2 linked regions of the Caenorhabditis elegans genome follow. The protein of the gene in region 1 interacts with the protein of each later gene in a pairwise test. Each region holds a gene or a part of one and is shown on either strand. Other genes may lie near its edges.

What was found.
Region 2: the proteins of aptf-2 (region 1) and taf-12 interact in a two-hybrid assay, tested with the Caenorhabditis elegans proteins (one large-scale study listed by BioGRID).

What each region holds. Positions count from the first base shown.
Region 1 is NC_003282.8:13,412,767-13,418,747, reverse strand, and holds aptf-2 (Transcription factor aptf-2), read left to right. Parts: upstream 1-2,696; 5' UTR 2,697-2,793; coding exon 2,794-2,805; intron 2,806-3,876; coding exon 3,877-4,368; intron 4,369-4,416; coding exon 4,417-4,760; intron 4,761-4,816; coding exon 4,817-5,072; 3' UTR 5,073-5,188; downstream 5,189-5,981. Other genes in the region: Pelle-like serine/threonine-protein kinase pik-1, read right to left, coding at 549-717, 770-955, 1,840-1,951; gcl-1 (BTB domain-containing protein), read left to right, coding at 5,859-5,981. UniProt on the Caenorhabditis elegans protein: Sequence-specific DNA-binding protein that interacts with enhancer elements to regulate transcription of selected genes. Required for neuroblast and epidermal morphogenesis, perhaps acting in cooperation with transcription factor aptf-4.
Region 2 is NC_003281.10:11,862,499-11,871,173, forward strand, and holds the start of taf-12 (Transcription initiation factor TFIID subunit 12), read right to left. Parts: upstream 6,784-8,675; 5' UTR 6,777-6,783; coding exon 6,681-6,776; intron 6,358-6,680; coding exon 6,225-6,357; intron 3,709-6,224; coding exon 3,527-3,708; intron 3,223-3,526; coding exon 3,127-3,222; intron 2,635-3,126; coding exon 2,449-2,634; intron 1,105-2,448; coding exon 901-1,104; intron 113-900; coding exon 1-112. UniProt on the Caenorhabditis elegans protein: Part of the general transcription factor complex TFIID. Plays a role in recruiting taf-4 to the nucleus and thereby activating transcription initiation by RNA polymerase II, as part of the TFIID complex.

The sequences.
Region 1 (5,981 bases):
AATCTGCCGGAAATTTCAATTCCGGCATTTTTACAGATTTGCCGGAAAATTTCAATTCCAGCAATTTGACAAATTGCCGGCAATTCGCCTATTTGGCGGAAATTCTAATTCCGGCAATTTGCCGATTTGCCGGAAATTTTAATTCTGGCAATTTGCCGGAAATTTCTTTTTTCAAGTGTTAATGCTGATGATTTTAGTGTAAAAACCCGCAAATTCTTAATTTCTCTGTAGTTTTCAGCAGAAAAACAAAACGATGCTTTCCAAGTAAAGGGATGGTTTTTCTCAAAAAATTAGATGAATTCGCAGTAAATTAATCATTTGAAATCGAGCAAGTTGTAAAAATTCATCGATTTCAGGCAAAAATATTGTTATTTCATGACGAAAATCATGTATGTCGGTTTTTCGTTGTTTTTATTTTTCGAAAATCGTAAAACGAAAAATGTTCTCTTTTTAATTTTTCAACAGTTCAATTTTTTCCGAAAACTAAAAAAAAAACTGATTAAGAGTTATATTAATTCCAATTATTTTTTCCAAATGTCTAAAATGACCTGGATAACTGAGAAGCTGCTGCTGCTGCTGGTGACGGAGATGACTCTTTTATTTCAGTTTTTTTCAAACGAGACGCACTTTGAGACCCCGGCGGTTGGACCATTTGTTTCGAAACTCGAGACGTCGAATTTGTGACCTTGTTCTCCAAATAATGATACTTCTCATGTACTGTGAATTAAAAATTTTAAATTTTTGTAGTAGAAACAACAATTAGTTGTACCTTGTGACCTCATCATTCTCATCAATCGAATCAATTTTGTTTTCGCAAAAAGTTGATAAAGATGAGTTGTCGAGTATCCTTTCGAGCTCCATATTCTTAAAAGTAACTCCGATGGACTTTGGTTATAACTTGAATATCTCTTGCAACCTTCAACATCTCTCAACTCAATTCCGGGCATGTAAGGTGCTGAAATTATGGATATTTGAACACTTTGCTATTTATATTCCCCAGACGTGAAATTTTGTGATTTCTCTGTCTAGGTCTCGACGCGACAATTGTTTTGTTAAATGCGAAAATGTGTGCGCCTTTAAAAGTGGTGTAGTCGAATTTTTGTTATTGCTTTATTAGACTCAAAACTATCTGAAAACACCGAATTTCATAATGAAACTTTTTGAAAACTTCTCAAAAAATAGTTATGACAGCTCAAAAAATGACCTAAAATTTGTTAAAATTTGAAATTTGACCGACTTGTAAAGCGGCTGGAAACAATTTTTTTGAAATCACCGTCAAATTTTGAGTATACATGTCAATTAACTTGCGTTTTCGACTACTACTTTACAATTAGGTATTTTAAAGTCGATGGACGGCGAGATTTGGTTTAAAAAAATTGTTAAAAATCTCGTCGTCCATAGACTTTAAAATACTTAAATCAAGTTGAAAACGCAAGATAATTAACTGGTATACCTACAATTAGACGGTGATTTCAAAAAAGTTCGTTTCCAGCCGCTTTACAAGTCGGTCAAATTTCAAATTTTAACTTATTTTAGGCCATTTTTTAAGCTGTCATAACTTTTTTTAGAAGTTTTATTAAGAAATTCGGTGTTTTCAGACAATTTTGAGTCTAATAAAGCAATAACAAAAATTCGACTACACCACCTTTAAAGGAAAACTATAAAAAAATTCGATGAAAAATCCGCAGATTCGAATGTTTGAAATAACTATTCTTTAAAGTGCTTTAAGAATTAAAGGCGCACACCGTTTCGCATATAACAAAAATTTGTCGTTTCGAGACCCTATTTTTGGAGCAAAAACCGCGAAATTTCAATGATTTGTTATAAAAAAGTCCGAACCAATCGTCTCCCAAGTGTTATCCGTATCTAAAATCGCACATATTTGCTGGAGAACTTCTCGTTTCATGAATGGAATCATTACAACTTCTGATACTCCAAGAGAATCATCCATTGTCTCTGAAAAATTCCAGATTATTTTTAAAAATATGTATTTAAACAATTTTAACAAGTTTAATTTTAAAAGAGTAGCTAATCAAAAATTATTTTGCTTTATTAAACTAAAAATGGTCCCAAAATATCGAATTTCATAACAAGACTGTTCAAAAATGCTTTTAAAAGGTTTATTTCCGCTAAAATCTCCAATTTCACCAACTTTTCCGTTTCACAGCGATCGGAAATTGATTTTTATCTGACTATTGCCCTATTTTGCTCATTTTCCTATTTATCTTCTGTTTTTTTGTTGATTTAATAGTTTGGATTTAAAAATTAAAATTTTAGATGATAAATTAACGAAACAACGCAAGAAAACCAATAAAAATATTCAAAATAGAAGAAAAATCAAATAAAAATCAATTTCTAACCGTTGTGTAACGAAAAATTGGGAAAATTCTATTTTTTCTTCGAAATTAATTTTTTTCTCGTTATAAAATTCGGGGTATTCGGGCCTTTTTGAGTATAATAAAGCAATAAAACTCCTCCTTTGATTGGTTTTTTGAAAAAATGTATAGAATGTTTTGAATGTGTTTTTATTATATTTTTAAAAATAAAAATATTTTAAATTAAAATTAAAATTTAATATTTAATTAAACTTATAAAACGAACAATTCTGAAATTCCAATAAATCCAAAAGCGGAGGAAAGCGGAGTGTCGTCACTTCCTCTCGTCGTCTCATCCCTCTCCCTCTCTCTACATTTTCTCTCTCTTCCATTCCATTACTTGGCACATTCTTCTGGAGATGTCACCTAGAAAACAGATGTTTTTGCAACACTGGAAGAGTAGATCAATAATAAAAGAATGGATATACAGGTGAGCGCGCACAGATTTGATCTCCACACCATAAACGATTTACAACCAATGAGGTCAAATATTGTAGAAGGCATTCGATCTACCTTATTAATGTCATTTCTTTCTTCCCTTTTTTTCAGCTTTTTTTTTGCTTTTTTTCCATAATTTGGAGGTCTGGCAATAACAATTTTACTTTCAAGCTGGAGTACCGAAATCTGAGACTTTGTTTTTTACACCCAAAATAGCCCAAAAATACCGAATTGGTAATGGGACGTTTTGAAAATTTCTCAAAAAAAAGTTATGGCAGTTGAAGGTTCTGGAAAAATGGCACATTTTCAGCTAAAATCAAAATTTTGGTCAACTTCTCGGTGTCACAGCGTCTGGAACATCATTTTTATGTAATTATCACTATTTAAAGACTATTGCGGTCTTCTATTAAGCGTTTATTCGTTGATTTAAACATATTTTCGGTAAGTGGGACACAAATAAAAGTTACATTTTTGTGCCCCACTGACAATAAATGTACTTAAATCAACGAATAAACGCCTAATAAAAAACAAAAATATTCTTTAAAAAGTGATAATTGAATCAAAATTAAGTTCCAGACGCTGCGACACCGAGAATTAGACAAAAATGTTGATTTTAGCTGAAAATTAGCCTTCTTTCCAGAACTTTGAGCCACCATAACTTTTTTTTTTGAGAAATTTCCAAAACGTCTCATTACACAATTCGGTAGTTTTGAGTCATTTTGGGTCTAAAAAAGCAAGGGTTCAGATTTCGGTACCCCATCTTTAAAATATTCAAATGGATCCAAATGCTGAAATCCCACAAAATTAAGTTTTAGAAATACAGTTAATTTCTGACGAATTTTTCAACTTTCTGCCGAAATTGATAAAAAAAACCAAAGTGCGGCACAGAAAAATGGGCGTGGTTAAGTGGCTAAAGTGCGGAAATTCAAATTATTCAAAAAAGGATATTATGAAGAAGCGAAAATTCGTCACAATCAACTTTTTTGTTAAACTCTGTAAATTTATATTGTCTGCTTTTGAATCCATTCGCGTATTTTAATTTATTCATTTATTACTTTTTCAGATGTTCACCACGCTCAACTCTACTGTTCCAACGGAACCCGTGGTGGGACCTGTGGAACCTACAGTACCTACAGTACCCGCCACAAAAGAGACTGGCCCTTCAAGCTCTGCAGAGTGCTCTACCCAACCCGCCGTTGCCGAGCAAGAAGACAACTCCCTTTTGGCACAACTTTTAAAAGGAAAAATCACGTCTGATGATGCAAAGTTGCAACCACCACGTGGACCTTTCGAATACGCACCGATGCTCTCCGAGGAGGCACAATTTGCGATTAAGCTGGCGGGTCTTCTCAACCCGAATCCGGTCACTGAACAGGACCCGAGCACTTTCAAGCCGCCTCCGAAAATGAGCAATAATGTTCGAAAAAACATTAATTTGACTCCGGTTATTGAGAATGCAGTTCCGAGTGGATTTGAACTGGAAAGTCCGAAAGATCAGGCATTTGATGTGGTTCATGGAAGACTATCTATGGGACAGAATCAGACATGTTATTTTGTACGTTTACGGTAGAAGTTCAATATTAAAATTTAAATAATCTTCCAGGTCACAGTCGAGGAAATGAGACGAAGATTGCAAAGTCCGGAGAAGCTCAATAGTTCGAGTATCGCATGCAATCTTAAAAGGCCAAAACTGAAGAATGGAGGTGAACTGATGCGCGCTCAACTGAGAGATCATGGAATCAAGGTTCAACTGAATGCGAAACAGAAGGCTTTTCCCAACAAAGTGATCGCTTTGGTCGAAGCGGAAGCTGTTCATTTGGGACTTGATCTTGGAACAGCTGTACGAGATGATTATCCAGTTCAAGATATAATTCAAGAAGTTGCTCATGAAGCATTGGCTGACGAGGATGCAGATCTGGATGCGTTGATGAATGATAAGGATTTCACGTAAGTTGACTATATTCCAATTTCTCAATTCTGACGCCAAATTCCAAATATTTCAGAGAATGTATGTCAGCACTTGAATCAGTTTTCACATCAGTCGTCCCTCCGATCACTGGAATCGAGCCAAAACCGTCGAACAACATGCGACTGAACAATGGAATGGAGACCTTTTCATCAGCTTCACATGGACTTGGAATCGTGTCTCAACGGGTTTGGCTCCCCCAATTGACTGCAATCGGAAATGGAGTCGCATCTGAACTTCGACGCTTGACAGAGACGCCAACTGAATCAAAGCCAGAGGAATTGAAAGCATAAATTCATATTTTCATATTCTGATATTTAAAACAATCTGATTACCAAGGTCTCACTTATTTTCCATGATCTCTATGATGTTTTCACTTAATTTCAATGAAACTTTTTATTTATTTAAATCCTCATACGATGTTCCTTAGTACTAGGAAATGCATCATTAAAAATGATTTTCATATTGCTAGTACGTCTTATAGAGTAGCTTCGAATTCACTTTATACATTTGAATAATATTGAATTTTATAGGTTTTACACATCATTTTGATCATTTTGATGTGTAAAACTTTGAAAAATTCATTATTATTCAAATGTATAAAATGAATTCGAAGCTTCTCTATAAGACGTACTAGCAACATGAAAATAATTTTTAATGATACATATTCCAAAACTGAAAATTAGGAATTTCTTTACCCCCGTTCCTCACGTGAAAACATTTATTGACCCTGTGGCAATGTGCGCTTGCGCGTCTGCGTCTCCAGAAGGCGTAATCTCTCGTGTTCAAACACTTTCTCAACTGACCATTTGTTTGCGTCGTTGCCGACGGCTTAACCATATGTTGCCTTTTCCCCCTTACATTTATACAAGACAGTAATATTAATAAATCGGTTTGATCTACAAAAATGCGGGAATTTTTTGGTCAAAAAATGTGACGTCAGCACGTTCTTAACCATTCGAAATCAGTTGACAGCTCTGCATCTAAATTCCCGCATTTTTTGTAGATCTAAGTAAATCCAGCTGAAATGAGCCATCTGACACCACGTGATTTACTGAAACATTATTTTCCAGTCAAAAATGGGATTAGCTCAGTCCCACTCGCGGACGCCCTCTCGTGATCCACTTCCAAATGACCATCAAGTAATGGATGTGTATGAAGAGTCTGGTCCAAGACGGGGAAGAAAACGAAAAGCGGCAAAA
Region 2 (8,675 bases), on another chromosome or scaffold:
TCTTGAGTAGAGCAACCCGTTGCTTGTGTGCTTCCGTTGGAACAAACTTTTCCTTCGATAAATCAATAACTTCCGTTTGAGACCCAAAATTGTGCGAAGCAGCGCGTGGAACCTGAAATTTAACAATTTTTTCTGATTTTTTAGATTAAAAATCGAGCCAAAACACCTAATTTTAGCTGAAAAACTCGAATTTTGTCTCACATTTTTTGCACATTTTTTGAACATTTTTTGTACATTTTTTGCACATTTTTTGAACATTTTTTGCACATTTTTTGAACATTTTTTGAACATTTTTTGTACATTTTTTGCACATTTTTTGAACATTTTTTGCACATTTTTTGCACATTTTTTGCGCATTTTTTGCACATTTTTTGCACATTTTTTTGCATATTTATTGCACATTTTTGCACAGTTATTGCACATTTTTGCACATTTTTTTGCATATTTTTGATAAATCCATATATCCTAACACTTTTTTTTTCTTCTTTTTCCGATTTTACAAGGTTTTTCGGAGAAAAAAAAATTTCTAATGAATATTTCAATATTTTCTAGACATTTTTTCTCTGAAAAACACTAAAAATCGAAAAAAAAACCCGATTTTCTGTATTTTTCAGGTAAAATTTTTAATACTGGAGAATCGAAAAACGGTAAAAAAGTAGATATTTCAGCTAAAATTAAGCGTTTTTTTTTTACGAAATCCGGTTTTTTAAAGCTATTTTGTGATGAAAATTTTTATCAACAAAAAAAAGAAGATTTTTTTTCCAAAAAAATAGTCAAAAATTAGAGATTTTAGCTAAAACTAGGCGTTTTTTTCTAATTTTTTTTTCACGAAATCCGTATTTTCTAGACCATTTTAAATATCAAAAAAAAACATAAAAATCAGTAATAAAAACGCCGTACCACTGGCATATTATAGACATTCTTGAGAATAAATTCGATATCCCGTGATTCAATTTTCTTCACCTCCCGATTCTTGATCATTTTGCATGCTTTATCGATTAGAGAACTGACAAAATCGTCGGCGTACTCCACAAGAACATCTTTTACATTTTCTTCGAGTACTGTTGTTGAGCTGATTTGTTGCATCAAATCATCCAGTTTTGACTGAAAAAAAAATTTTAAAAAAAAGAAGATTTTTTAAAATAAGAATTTTCGGTTTTTTCAGTGAAAATCAAAAAATCGGAAAAAAAAATTTTATAGAGTTTTTGAAAAAAAAAAACTACGAAAATTTTAGGCTATTTTTTTTTTTTTTTTTATTAATTGTTATAATTTTCGATTTTTTTGTTTGAAAATCTTGAAAATCGAAAATTTAAAATTTTTTAATTAGAAAATTAAACAAAAACTCTTAATTTTACAAGAATTTTTACAAGAAAAATTACCAAAAATTTAGGCATTTTTTTCAGTGAAAATTTAAAAATCGAATTTTTAATAGCAAATTTACAAAAAATTCCATTTTTAATTTCATTATTTTTTCAGGAGCAAAGCAAAAACTAGTGTATGCAGAAGTTCGAATTTTTTTCAAAGTTCAAAAAAAAATTTAAAAATTGTATTGAAAAATTGGAAATTTTCGTTTTTCGTTTAAAAAAAATCGAATTTTCAATAAATTCCGGCCATTTTTCAATACTTTATAGAAAAAAAAAATCACTTTTTTCAATAAAAATCAGCATATTTTTTGATAAATCTATAGCTTTTTCGTCCCCTTCCGTGAATTCTTTGTGCATTTTTTTTCCTATTTTCTCTGAAAAAAAAGACCGAAAAATCTGAAATTTGCTCATTTTCTATGAAAAGACAATCCAAAAAATTTTTTTTTTGCGAATTTTTGCTAGAGAAATTTGTAATTGAAAAAAAAACTAAAAAATCAGAAAATTTTTTAAATTTTCCTGAAAAAACCTGAATTTTTTTCGATTTTCTTTGAAAAAAAATCGGAAAATCTGAGCTTTATTCGATTTTTTCTGAAAAAATTTCAAAATTAAATAAAAATCAATTTTCCAAGTATTTTTGCCGGTTTTTTTGCCGAAATTTCCAAGTATTTTTGCCGGTTTTTTTGCCTAAATTTCCAAGTATTTTTGCCGGCTTTTTTGCCGAAATTTCCAAGTATTTTTGCCGATTTTTTTGCCGGAATTTCCAAGTATTTTTGCCGGTTTTTTTGCCGAAATTTCCAAGTATTTTTGCCGGTTTTTTTGCCTAAATTTCCAAGTATTTTTGCCGGTTTTTTTGCCGAAATTTCCAAGTATTTTTGCCGGTTTTTTTGCCGAAATTTCCAAGTATTTTTGCCGGTTTTTTTGCCTAAATTTCCAAGTATTTTTGCCGGTTTTTTTGCCGAAATTTCCAAGTATTTTTGCCGGTTTTTTTGCCTAAATTTCCAAGTATTTTTGCCGAAATTTTCAAGTATTTTTGCCGGTTTTTTTGCCGAAATTTCTAAGTATTTTTGCCGGTTTTTTGTTGCACCTTTTCCATAATACTTCCATACGGAACAGCGGCCGGTATCATTTGAGGTGGCGGTGCCTGTTGCTGTTGTGGCTGTGGAATTGGAGGCTGTTGAATTTGTTGAGATGGTGGTGGCTGCTGATGTTGCTGCTGATGTTGTACTTGCATAATTTGTTGAGGAGGCAGCGGCATTGGAGACGAGTTTGGCTGGAAATTTTGAAAAATTTTGCCCAAAACTAATGGTTTTTATAGTTTTTCCATTAAATCGGGCTCTTTTTGAGCTCCAAAAAATATTACGCCACGACAAATTTGGCGAATTTGCCGGTTTTTTACGAGCTCGATCGGTAAACGTTGCCTTTTTAGTTCCGGCAATTTGCCGATATGCCGGAAATTTTAATTCCGGCAATTTGCGGGAAAATTGAATTCCGACATTTTGCCGATTTTGTCGGAAATTTCAATTCCGGCAATTTGCCGATTTGCCGGAAATTTTAATTTCAGCAAATTGTCGATTTTGTCGGAAATTTCAATTCCGGCAATTTGCCGATTTTGTCGGAAATTTCAATTCCGGAAATTTGCCGATTTGCCGGAAATTTTAATTCCGGCAATTTACCGGTTTTGCCGGAAATTTCAATTCCGGCAATTTGCCGATTTGCCGGAAATTTCAATTCCGGCAATTTGCCGATTTTGCCGGAAACTCACCACAAATTGTGGTGGTCCACCACCTCCTTGCTGCTGCATCATATGTTGTGGCGGAGGCCCTCCGACCATTCCCATTAAATGTCCAGATGGTCCTGGCTGGAAACATTTTAAAATTAGAGGATTTTTAAGCGGATTTCCAAAAATAACTGCAGAAAAAGTCTTAAAAATGCCCAAAATATGCGAAAAAAAAATTTTTTTTTTGAAGAAATTATACAAGCCTTGAAATTTTCACCGCTGCTCCGCTGCTCCACTGCAGAAATTGTTTTGTAACATTTTTTAGAACAATTTTTCAGAGATTTTTGATCCCGTGGACCCAAATTCCCGAAAAAAGGTTTTTCTTGGGTCTCAAACGGAAGCTTTTTTTAAATTCAAATTTCCCAGATAATAACCGCCCCCGTACCCCTTGAGCCATGCCCATCTGCATTGGTCTCTGTTGCATTTGCATTGATTGCCCATTCGGTGTGAATTGTTGGGGCTGCTGCTGTTGTGGAATACCCATTTGTTGAAAGTGTTGCTGCTGCTGCTGCTGTGGTGGTGGAGGGCCCGCACGCATTTGTGGTGATGGGTATGGCATTTGGCGGACTAAAATTACGAATTATTTCATGAGAAGCCTTATTAAAGAGACGGTGTAGTCACCGAAAATATGAAGATTTTCGCTAGAATTAGGCGATTTTCGGAAATTCAGCATAATTGGAACATCGTCCAATCAGCGTACCGCTCCGCCCACTTCTGGACCAATCAGACGGAGTGGGCGGGGTTTGAAGATGCTGATTGGTAGGAAAATACTCGAAAATTGGTAAATTAAATATTTTAAAAAAGCGATTTTTAAAATGGAATTCTTTGAATTTTTTAAAAGCGATATCTACATTTACCCAAAGCCGCCTTAAATTACACCTAAATTAACGAAAAACGTGAAATAAATATGCAAATTAGGATGAAAATTGAATAAAAATCAATTTCTAGCCACCCTGGCACCGAAAAAATGGAGATTTTAGGCGATTTTCGGAATGTCTGGTAGATCATGGTGTGATCTGCAAAAAATGCGGGAATTTTTGGCCCAAAAAATGTGACGTCAGCACGTTCTTAACCATGCAAAATCAGTTGAGAACTCTGCCGCATTTTTTGTAGATCAACGTAGATCAAGCCGAAATGAGACACTCTGACACAATGTGTGGTTAGGAAATTTGAAAATTCAGCAAAATTAAAACAGCGACCAATCAGCGACCGGCTCCGCCCACTTTTGGACCAATCAGACGGAGTGGGCGGAGAGCTAATTTTAGTAAAATTTGAAAATCACGATTTTTTTTCCGTTTTTTTTGTGGTTTTTCTGAATTTGAAACTATTTTTTTTGGATATTTTTAAAGGTGGTGTAGTCGAATGTTTTTATTTGCTTTATTAGACTCAAAATTGTCTGAAAACACCGAATTTCATAGTGAAACTGTTTGAAAACTTCTCAAAAAATAAGTTATGACGGTTCAAAAAATGACCTAAAATTAGTTAAAATTTGAAATTTTACCGACTAGCCAAGCGTCTGGAAACAATTTTTCGAAATCACCGTCAAATTTTAAGTATACAATTTAATTATCTTGCGTTTTCAACTTCATTTAAGTATTTTAAAGTCGATGGACGGCGAGATTTGGTTTTAAAAAATTTAAAAATCTCGTCGTCCATCGATTTTTAAATACCTTAATCAAATTTAAAACACAAGGTAATTAACTTATATACTCAAAATTTGACGGTGATTTCAAAAAAAAATGTTTCCAGCCGCTGCGACATTGATAAGTTGGTCAAATTTCAAACTTTAACTAATTTTAGGTCATTTTTTGAGCCGTCATAACTTATTTTTTGAGAAGTTTTCAAAAAGTTTCACTATGAAATTCGGTGTTTTCAGACAATTTTGAGTCTAATAAAGCAAATAAAAACATTCGACTACACCACCTTTAAAAATATCCAAAAAATAGTTTCAAATTCAGAAAAACCACAAAAAAAAACGGAAAAAAATCGTTAAAAAAATTTAAAAATCTCGCCGTCCATTGATTTTTAAATACCTAAATCAAGTTGAAAATGCAAGAAATGCACTAATTTTAGGCCATTTTTTGAGCCATCATAACTTTTTCCTGAAAAGTTTTCAAGAAGTTTCATTATTAAATTCGATGTTTTCAGACAATTTTGAGTCTAATACAGCAATAAAAAAAAAATTCAACTACACTCTCTTTAAAAATATCCAAAAATACATTAAAATTCAGAAAAACCACAAAAAAAAAAACGGAGAAAATCGCGATTACAAACTCCGCCCACTCCGTCTGATTAGTCCAAAAGTGGGCGGAGCCGGTCGCTGATTGGTCGCTGTTCCAATTTTGCTGAATTTCCGAATTTCCTAACCACACATTGTGTCAGAGTGTCTCATTTCGGCTTGATCTACGTTGATCTACAAAAAATGCGGCAGAGTTCTCAACTGATTTTGCATGGTTAAGAACATGCTGACGTCACATTTTTTTGGGCCAAAAATTCCCGCATTTTTTGTAGATCACACCATGATCTACCAGACATTCCGAAAATCGCCTAATTCTAGCGAAAATCTCCATTTTTTCGGTGCCAGGGTGGCTAGAAATTGATTTTTATTCAATTTTCATCCTAATTTGCATATTTATTTCACGTTTTTCGTTAATTTAGGTGTAATTTAAGGCGGCTTTGTGTAAATGTAGATATCGCTTTTAAAAAATTCAAAGAATTCCATTTTAAAAATCGCTTTTTTTAAATATTTAATTTACCAATTTTCGAGTATTTTCCTACCAATCAGCATCTTCAAACTCCGCCCAATCTACCTGATTGGTCGAAAAGTGGGCGGAGCGAATCGCTGATTGCTCAGGCATTTCTCATTTTGGAGGTAATTCGAAAAATCATGTTTTTCGAGTTAACTTTTTCACTTTTTCGCGATTTTTTTCTTTTTTCTTCGGAAAAAACGTAAAATAGCCGACTAAAATAGGCGGAATAGGACAAAATTGGAGATTTCAGCTAAATTTTGAGCAATTTTTTTTTCATTTTTCACGGAATTATTTCTGAATTTGAGGCATTTTTTAGGAGTTTTTTCTTCATACTTTGCTGCTGTGGCATCTGCATTCTCATCGGGCCGCCCATTCCACCCATCGGCGGTTGGCCCACAAACTGCTGCTGCTGCTGCTGTTCGTTGGGATTCTGATGGCCTTGTGGCGGAATTCCCTGCTGCATTGGCTGAAAATGTGGGTGATAGACGTGATATCCATGATGGTAGGGCCACATTTTTTAGTATTAGTAAATATATATATATATATGGACAGAGGACGACGAGAAGCTTTTGTGATGGAAATGGTTTTGTCGGGGGAAGAAGAGAAGCACAATCGATATGAGAATAATACACATACACTTTGGACGTTTACGGGGGAAAAAAAACGGAGAGGCGCTCCGATTTTTTATTATTTTTATTCGTTTTTTTTGTTTTTTTTTTGTCGGCTGGCCGGTGAGTCATTGTTGGGACAGAAAGCAATAATTAGAGAGCGGACACACAAATCGCTTACAGAATTCGTGGAGAGAGCGGCGGCGATTTGCGGGTTCGCCTGCACGATTACGTGATTATTCGGTGAAGTTGGAGGTGAGAATTCTTCCATTTTCATTTTTTATCTGCAACTAAGTTTTTTTTTGATGATTTTAAAGCTTAAAATCTTTCGGAAAACCGAGGAAAATGGAAATATATTCATAAAAATGAATAAATTCGTTAAATTCGATAAATTTTCCACAGTACCTCGGTCGTTGTGAGACCCAATGTTAAACAAAAGCATTGCGCCTTTAAAGTTATACGGTGAAACTTTTCAAGCAATTTCTATTTTTTTCCGAATTTTTAGTTGCTAATTATTATTTTTGATTAAATATTACGAGAAAAATTTTAATTTTGAAGAATTTCTTCAAATAAAGTTTAAAAAACCGAGGAAAAGTCAAAATTAATAACTGAAACTCGGTTCGCTGTGAGACCCAAACTTAAAAATAGCAATGCGCCTTTAAACTTATACGGTTGTATTTTTAGGCAATTTAAAGTGAATTTATGTTTTTTCCAGAATTATAGTTGCTAGCTATTATTAATTTTAAAACCGAGTGAAAATTTTAACTTTGAGAATTTTCTTTTAAAAAAAACCAAGGAAAAATCAAAATTAATGACTGAAACTCGGTTCGCTGTGAGACCCAAAGTTAAACAACAGCAATGCGCCTTTAAAGTGATACGGTGGCGATTTTCAAGCAATTTAAAATCAAATTGAATTTATTGGAAAAAATCAATGAAAAAGACCTAAACTAATAAATATTCAAAGTTTTATTCTCGAATTGCACATAATATTATGCGCCGAAACCTCGTAAAATTAGGCAGATTCTGATATAAGGGAAAAACGATCCGAAAAATGTAGGACATTGGGGGAATAGAGACGTAGGGGGTGGTGGCGAGAAATTGAGGCCAATGAAGAGAACGAGAGACCTCTCTAGCTCTTTTCCGTCTCTTCTCGCAACTATCTCTCTCTCTCTCTCACTAGTGTGGTTTATTAGAACCTAAATGAGCGTGGCCGTGGGAAAACCTAGGCCACGCCGTTGCGAGGAAGTGCAAGTAAACAGAAAAAAGACGACGGCGGACGTCTTATAAAAACAAACATGTCACATTTTGTTGTCCACTCTGTCATTATTTTGCGAAAGAATTGGGATCGAATTGGGAAGTACATTTTTGGGTCTCGCCGCGATTGTTTTCTTTAATTGAATATAACTGTACCATGTGATCACTGGAAATGGAAAAACATATTTTATCTAACATTGGTTGAGGAAAAGGCAATAAAAACAATTAAAATATCGAGTTATTACAGTACACCGAGGTTTAAAGGCGCATGAGGGTTTTGAAAAGTCAAAGTAAAACTGGATATTAGCGTAAAATTTTGTTCGGTCATAATCGAGTATATTCGTAAAGTTAAAAAAAAATTTGGGTGTTTGGTTTTAAAATAATGTTTTTTTGAAAATTGAGTTTTTACTAAATTTCAGCTAAAGAAAAACTTGAATTTTAGTCGAATTTTGAACGGTGGGTAATAATTTTTTGTGTTTATATTATTATTCAGACATCAGTAAGTAAATTGGTAAAGTTTGAAAAAAATTTGGGTGTTTGGTTTCGAAGAAAATAATTTTTTGAAAATTTGAATTTTTATTCATTTTCAGCTAAACTAAAACTGAAATTTCAGACAAATTTCGAACGGTGGGTATTAATTTTTTGTGTTTATATTATTATTCAAAGATCAATTAGTATATTGGTGAAGTTTTAAAAAATTTGTGTGATTGGTTTTGAATAAAATAATTTTTTTGAAAATTGGAATACATATTAATTGGGAGCTAAACTAAAACTGGAATTTCAGTCAGATTTTGAACGGTGGGTATTAATTTTTTGTGCTTATATTATTATTCAGACATCGGTTAGTATAATCGGTTAGTAGATTGGTAGTTAAAAAAAATTTGGGTGTTTGGTTTTGAAGAAAATAATTTTTTGAAATTTG